2 linked regions of the Caenorhabditis elegans genome follow. The protein of the gene in region 2 interacts with the protein of the main gene of each other region in a pairwise test. Each region holds a gene or a part of one and is shown on either strand. Other genes may lie near its edges.

Region 1 (3,305 bases), on a different chromosome or scaffold from region 2:
AGGAAACTCAGGACCACAAGGACCACCAGGACCACAAGGAGAGCCAGGACAAGATGGAGCTCCAGGAAACCCAGGAGCACCAGGAGAGGCTGGAGAGCCAGGAAAGGACGGAGCCAAGGGTAAGTATTTATTCAATTTTTGTACATTTCTCTTATCATTCCCTAATTCCAGGAGGATGCGATCACTGCCCAATCCCAAGAACTGCTCCAGGATATTAATTCCTCAATTGCTATTTTCTTGCTTAAATTATTTCTCTTTCTCTCTACTTGTATTTATAATACCTGTCGAAACATTTCACGGGGCTCTTCAACAAGAAACCAATAAAACTATTGAAATTAATTGAACTTGTAAAGAGAATTGGATGAATAGGAAAAGAAAGGTGAAGAGATAGAAAGTGAAAATGAGTGAATGTAATGATGGACGGTCATTTAAAAGGAAGGTGACTCGTAAAACAAAACTATTATGATTCGTTTAAAGAACGGTGACAATGTGGAAAAATATTGGTAATAGAAATTATGAAAACACAAAAGTTAAAGAAGCTCTTCGATACGCTTAGTTTTGAGCTTAAGGTTTTGAAACTTTTTTTCGCGTTAACAAAACTTAATTCACACTAATGAATCAAAAAACTAATATTTGAAATTTAATTTTTTATAATTTTTAAAAAAATTCTTTACGGCGAATAAACTCTAGGAAGACCAAAACTTTAGAGTAGTTACCAGATGCGAAATTTTATAGAAACAATGGCAACGTTGAGCTGCGGAATGTAGGCCTCCAGCTAGTTGTGGAAAATACATCACGAGGCATAAATGTGATCAAAACCTGCCTGTAAATTTCAGTTTTAAAGTAATTTTTAATAAAAATTGAATTGTATACTTTTTTTGTGGACACTTTTTCAGACGAGGCTTTTTATCAACTTTTTTTGTGACCTCAACTAGTGGAAATTGGGAATGGGCACAAAAACATTTTCTGCAATTTGGTATTTGCCACTTTTGGAGCTGTCAAAAAAGAAATAGGCTTCTCACTCTTTCAGCAAACCGGAAAAGATCGAGCTCAAAAACTTGGCAGTTGTGAGGTAAAATTTCGGAAAAGTTAAATTGCAATGAATTTTAAAAAATGAATACCTGAAATGTTTTTCTGTCACATAACAAAAGCTCGTCCCTTTACCAAATTATAGATTTTGCAATGTTCTACTCGGAATTTTGGATTGCCGAATGGTATTATCTGGTTTTTATTGACACTCGCGAAAATAGGTTCTAAAAATCCTGAAACATTTTCAACAAAGGAAAAGTTTTATGTTGCTACCCCTATCAAATTTTAAGAAATAACTTCCGTCATTTTTCTATTTTCCATCACAACGGCACGATTGCCGATTGCAAGGAATGATAACAGTTCAGATCGGTTCGTTTTTCTGTTTTCTTTTTTCTTCCCAGGCAACGGTCTTCTACGTCTCCCTTCAAGCCAACCCCGAAAACCAATCAGCCCCCAAATTGTCGAGCGTCTCCAATTTTCAGATGATCCCTCTTCAAGCATCTTCTTTTTTTTCCTGGAAAGCCTACTCCCACTCTCCTATCTCTAGTAGTTACTGTACACCGACGCTATCGGTTCCCAAGCGAAACTATAAAAGAAGGGGTCGAAAGTTGTGGAAACCATCACACTAACGGACATGGCCGACGAGAAGTCAATCAAGTACGCTGAGGCGGATTCCGTCAAAAAATTCGCCTTCTTCGGTAATTATTTTTTAAAAATCAATTTCTTTGTTTTCAAAAACTTTAATATATTATAAGATGTTTAATATCATTTTGCCAAAGATTATCATAACTCCTATTATTCAATTGTTCACACTTTCATTTTCTAGGTGTGGCTGTTTCCACCATTGCCACCTTGACGGCTATCATTGCCGTGCCAATGCTCTGTCTGCACATGCAAAATGTGCAATCTGGCCTCCAAGAGGAGCTTGTCTTCTGTAAATCAAAGAATGCTGATCTTAAATCCGAATTCTTCAAGCTCGACAAGGTCCGATCTAACGCTGTTTCTGATCGTCAAAAGCGTCAGTCTGAGTACCAATGCTGTTCTTGCGGAATTGGAGCCGCCGGAGCCCCAGGATCTCCAGGAGAGGACGGAGCTCCAGGAGATGATGGAAAGCCAGGAAATGATGGAGAGCCAGGTCGCGATTCTACCGATAAGGACGAGAAGCCAACTGCCGCTGACTTCTGCTTCGATTGCCCAGTTGGACCAGCTGGACCAGCCGGAGGACCAGGACCAAAGGGACCACCAGGACCACCAGGAGGACACGGAGAACCAGGACCAGCTGGACGTGGAGGACCACGTGGCCCACCAGGACCAGGAGGACCACAAGGAGAGGCCGGAGAAGATGGAGGAGCCGGAAACCCAGGAACTCCAGGACAAGTTCGTTCTCTTCCATCCCCACCAGGAGAGCCAGGACAACCAGGAGAGCCAGGAGGTCCAGGAGAGCCAGGAGCCGATGGACGACCAGGACACCCAGGAAGAGCCGGACCTCCAGGACCACCAGGAGACAATGGACCAAACGGAGAGCCAGGAAAGGACGGGGAGGATGGAGCTCCAGGAGCCGCAGGAAACGCCGGAGCCAAGGGATCTTGCGATCACTGCCCACCACCAAGAACTGCTCCAGGATATTAGATTGTCTTTCTATGTTTTTAAATTCTTCTTTTCTTTCTGGTCGTTTATGTTTTTCACTCAAAATGAAGAACTTTCGAGTATATTAGTTGATTCGAATTATCATATAAGTGTGTTTTCAAAAAAGTTTAGTTCAACAACAGGAAGTTTCTTTCAGAAGCGATTTCAAACTTGATAAGAAGATACGGTAATAGTTCTAATGACCATTGAAATAGTTGTAGGAAACCATTTATGTCTGGTGAATGTGTTGCCATAGATACTACTACGTTTCATGTAATTTTCGATGAAGATGTCAGACTGGTCACAAATCCTTTTGATCTATAGGAAATGCGCTCAACCGAAAAATGATAAAAACCAAGTCATGTCGCTTTGATTCGAGATTCTTCTATAAATCTGAAGCGGTTTCCAAGAAGCAATTTAAGTCAAAAATAAATTTAGAAATATTGAAAAATATTTGATTAATTTAAAAATAATATTCCTAACTAATAAAATGTGCAAAAAAACATCTGAAAACTGGCTGAAAGTTGTCGAAATTTTGAGGGCCGTGTTTGAGGATTTTTCCAACGTTTTAAACATATTTTCCAATAAGTTGGATTGTTAAACTGAAAATTGACAATGTTCCTGGATATCCTGAAAAATGACTACAAGTT
Region 2 (4,765 bases):
TTCCACTTGAAGTATGCTTCAAACTTGTGGTGAACTTGAGATCTCGCCAATTTGCAGTAGTACAGTTCGTTTACGAAGTTGCTATTCTCAGGTTCTGGTTTTTCCGTCTTACTGAGAGACGATGAAGCGGAGCAATGAGAGCTCTCCGATGAGCATGACGACACTGACGATTCTTGTTTTCTTCTTGACATGATTCTCGTCTCACGACGAGCTGGAGATCTACTCTCCACATCGAGATTGTCTTTTTTGATGTGAGACTTGATAATCGTTAGGCCAGAAAATTGGCGGGACAAAGATCGGAGAATGGGGGTCTCGACTAGTTCCTTTGCTTCGTTCTCGTTTTCATAGAACACCTCGTCGTTTTCATTTTTAGCATTCTCCTGCTCGTCAAAATTTTCTTGAACATCTGCCTTTTCTTCTTCTTCTTCATTTTGGCTCTGTTTCAGAAAAGACTCCTTCCTGAACACAGGACCATCGCACACATCTTCTCCTTGCTCTTCTTTTTCGGTCTCATCAACAGTCTCATCGTCAGTTCCGCCACTTTCAAACTTCTGCACCAATCTGCTCACTTTTCGGAGGCTATTTAAAGTTTCATCATGAAAGGCTGACTTCTTTTTATCTTTGTTCGGGGTAAACATGATATCCTCCATCGCTTGCCTATAGATTCCAGCGTTGGAGTAGGAGAAGTCATTGCAACACGACATTGTTGTACTGAAATTTAAAAAAAATTATAGGTATTGTATAACCAGTTGAAAAATTGAGAACGTTAAAAAAATGTGGAACAAAAGAGTAAGATTGAAAAAAAAAAGTCCAAACAGTTGTTTTCGAGACGGAGAATAATTGAGAGTGTAAACAGAAGACCATTCGTTCAAATACAAAATGAAGAAAACGAGGAATTAGATATTTTTACACTTATTTATATCGATCGATATTGCTAACGCGACATTAGACTCTCATCCCACTCCTTTCCCGACTCTTCAACCCATAAATCGTCAGAGGAAAACAACATGTAGCAATGGGAACATTGACACCCTTCCAAGTTTGGCAGATAATCTTTGTTGACTGCAAAACTAATAACTAAAAACTGCAGCTTAACAGTGAAATCAGAAAAAATTGCACCATTTAATTTTGTTCTGTTGTTTCTACAGGCTTCTTCAAAAAAGTGACTGTCCACTATCTTCAGATTTAATTGAAAAAAAGCATAATTCAAATTTGGTTACTATATAACGCAACTTTGCTTCTGAGAAAAAAACAATAAAAAATGCATTAACTTGTAAGATTGAGAACACAAAAAAAAACGATTAGGCAACATTAAGAGCAAGAAAGAGGAGAACAATGGGCGAATAATCCAATATGTGGGAAACGGCATCTGTTGCAACTCATATCGTGACTGAATATCGGCTGACCTTCCCATCTCACCGCACAGTTGCGCTCATTACGCAACGAACGCTTGCACACAAAAAAGTATTCGATTGACTCGCCCAAACTGCGCACATCATTTACAACCACTTGCGTTGCGTGCACCGATACTGTCTGTCAACCACAATTTGTCTTTATTCTTGACAACGTTACGTTTTTACCCCACCTCTCGCTAATGTGTCCGTCTCATCAACATTTTATCTCCAATACGTTTCCTGTCATTTATCATTAATTCTGGTTTATTGTAGACATGAGTGAGGCGTCAAAATCGATTATGGATCTGCTGTCAGAAGTTGTCAAAATTACCGACATGACTATGGATAATGAAGCTGTCAATAAATTGTGAGTTAGATTTTTGCTTATGTGCTGCCATAAATCGAAGTTTTCAAAAAAAAAAATCAACAATCGTTATGTGATGGTTTGCGCTTGTTTTTTCTGATATTCCTATAATAAAAATTCTCAATATTGTTTCATGGGCGTGTTGATGATATAAGTATTCAAATCAAAATTATTAATAAGTTTCAAAATTTTGGTCAATGTTTATAGATGTTGATAACAAATGTTCATTCATACTTAAAATACTTTGATTAGTTTACGACTCAAGAAAAAATAATGACAAGATATGCTTTTAAGCAAAGTTTCGTAAAACATCAAATGTTTAATTTTTTTGATCAGCTTTTGTAGGCAATAGCCTGTCTCTAATTTCTTTATTTGAACAGTACCGCTCCTTAAAACATTGCTCTAGTTCAACTATCATCACAAACTTCTTGAAAACTATTTTTTGGAAAAACTTTCTTAAGCAAACTCTCCGCTGGAGTGCTTATGTTTTTCTTTCAACTTCAGTATTTATCATAATATTGTTTTGGTAACTATACATTTATGGAGAAGTTGCGATAAGATGAAAACCAACACTAGAGATTACTATCAAGATACAAAAAAGAAAAGAGGATATTCACTTCCTCCTGAAAATAAAAAATAAAAAATTGTCAAAAGTATTTATGAATTTTTCAGAAAACCACAAATCAAGATCAATCCATTCTACCGAGCCGTACAAGATGTTCTAGTTGAGCAGAAGTCCAAAATCGACCTATCGACAAAGATGATGAAGGATCTTGAAGCACAAGAGAATGATGAACGGCTGGATACCATGCTCAAAGCAGAAGGAGTTGCTGGACCCGATGATAGTTTGTTGCGTATTCAGGAAGCTGCTGGAACTGACCAATACGAGTATCGTCAACAACTTTTGAAAGTGAGACGAGAGCTTGAAAATGAGACAAAAGCGTTTGACAAGGTAAGATCGTCTCATATATCACCAACCAATATACAAATTTCAGCACTGCAAAAAGTGGTGTGAGTACGTTGAAGATGTTCTCCAGCAACAAGGAGAATTCCGTCCAATCACCCAACAGGTAAGCCATAAATCTACCGGTGAAAAGATTAAACCAATTTTTCAGTCAACCGAAAAGTTTATGAACAAGATGTCCGGTAAATTTAACAAGGTCTGTTTTGTACTAAAACAGACTGCCTGCGAAGAAGTTATCCAACTGAAAAAGCGTTATCTGGATGCTCGTCGAAAGAGAAGAAATTTCTCGAAAACTTCCACCGAGATTCTCAACGAGTACTTCCTAGCAAACATCAATCATCCATACCCGTCGGAAGAGGTCAAACAGGCCTTAGCTATGCAATGTAACATTAGTGTTGCTCAGGTAAAATTGAAAATACAAAATTACATACTAAAAAATATGCATAAAAAACTTTTGAAGAATATTACGATTTGCATGAAGATAATATTGATAAGGCCTAAATTAAAAGCTCGCTAAAATGCGCCATCATCACCATTTGCGTCAGCTGTCTCCTATTAATATTTGCGCGGGAGTTTTGAATAGGAAATGTTGAAACGGTGTTCAGAATTAACGAATGCTTTAGTAGTTTCTAGAAAATGGGAAGTAAGGTTTTCTAAAAGAAACGCAAAACTAGTTCATTATTCTTTGGAATATAATTGTGGTTACATAAAATAATCGCTGTTCTATAGACACGAACCTAAAAATTATGCAACTTTTTTAAAAACTATTTTTGTCACTGTCAATATTGTCAGTGTTTCTTAACACTCTATCACTCTATTTGAAAAAATTTAGTCCCAGATATCTGCATACAATCTTACAGTAGTTTACAGTTTATTTTCAGGTATCAAACTGGTTTGGAAATAAGCGAATTCGCTACAAGAAAACAATGGCTAAGAATGAGGATGAAAGAAGAGAAAACAGAAAACCAGAAGATCGCCCTCCGCCTGGAGCTCCTGGAGCTCCGTATAGTCTGGTACCCAACGCGTTTGCAGGAATGATGAACCCATATCAGATGATGTTACCTGGTCATCAATTTCCCATCGGTGTTGCCCCTTTCAATTTTTCCATGTACAATCCTGAGATGGTAAGTTTTCATTTCAAATACTGTGAACTTGCAAAAATAGAGCAATATATGTAGTTTGTTTCAAAACCCGGATTTTTGTTAAACTTGAAAAAAAACTCGTTCTTGGATACATCAAATTCTGGAAACGATGTACTCCAAGTTGCGAGCAGCTGGAAAAGTTGAGAAACTAGGTTTTTTCTTACTGCCAGATTTTGAAATCATGCATATTCCGAAAAAAACAGTTTTCTCATTTTCAGATGGCCCAATATCAACAGTCTCTACAAAACCCAAATCAAACTCGATGACAAACTTTAATAATGCTGGTACTGAGTACTCATTCATACATTTGCCATGATGTTATAAAGTAATAAATTCATTGAAATACATCCTGTGTTCCATAAGATGTATTACTTTTTTAAGAAATTTATTTGATACTGACCAATGTTTTTGGCTGCAAAATGCAACATCACAATTTTTAGACAAGGGCTTACAATATAAATGAGGTAACAAGAACAACATAACTATTCACAGAACAGGAGATTTTCCTGAAGCGTTTTTAAAAATGTTGAGAAAGTGGTGATATTGAAAAAAAAGTTGAAATTAATTAAGTTTTTAAGAACTCAGGCCAGTTATATCCATAACAAGTAGTAGTATGAAATTTTGGTGGAACTGCGAAAATAACATGCTGAAATTGGAAACTAATGTAAAATTATATTATCTAGCGGTTAGAAACAAAATGGTGAAATGAAAATCTATGACAACCATGAAGTGGAGAGGTATTGAAAATGATCCGAAGTATAGGGAATTGATTTGGTCTGATATGATCCTATTTAAACATTTCCACATTTTGCTGAATACTTTGATATTTTGATTACTGCCTACGTGGTCCATTGGGCACAAGAACTCCGGGAGGAACATCAACTGTTCGCTCGGTCCAAAA

Evidence for each region. Proteins that work in one complex are often made in the same cells at the same time.
Region 1: the proteins of ceh-40 (region 2) and col-20 interact in a two-hybrid assay, tested with the Caenorhabditis elegans proteins (one large-scale study listed by BioGRID).

The regions. Positions count from the first base shown.
Region 1 is NC_003280.10:4,869,130-4,872,434, reverse strand, and holds col-20 (Nematode cuticle collagen N-terminal domain-containing protein), read left to right. Parts: upstream 1-1,643; 5' UTR 1,644-1,663; coding exon 1,664-1,727; intron 1,728-1,855; coding exon 1,856-2,658; 3' UTR 2,659-2,765; downstream 2,766-3,305. Other genes in the region: col-73 (Nematode cuticle collagen N-terminal domain-containing protein), read left to right, coding at 1-119, 172-218.
Region 2 is NC_003284.9:12,317,605-12,322,369, reverse strand, and holds ceh-40 (Homeobox protein ceh-40), read left to right. Parts: upstream 1-1,592; 5' UTR 1,593-1,669; coding exon 1,670-1,761; intron 1,762-2,430; coding exon 2,431-2,710; intron 2,711-2,753; coding exon 2,754-2,828; intron 2,829-2,873; coding exon 2,874-3,125; intron 3,126-3,603; coding exon 3,604-3,846; intron 3,847-4,082; coding exon 4,083-4,130; 3' UTR 4,131-4,244; downstream 4,245-4,765. Other genes in the region: F17A2.13 (uncharacterized protein), read right to left, coding at 1-704; xtr-2 (MX region of TRA-2 Related), read right to left, coding at 4,697-4,765. UniProt on the Caenorhabditis elegans protein: Plays a role in regulating gene expression in dopaminergic neurons, acting redundantly with homeobox protein ceh-20 in head neurons.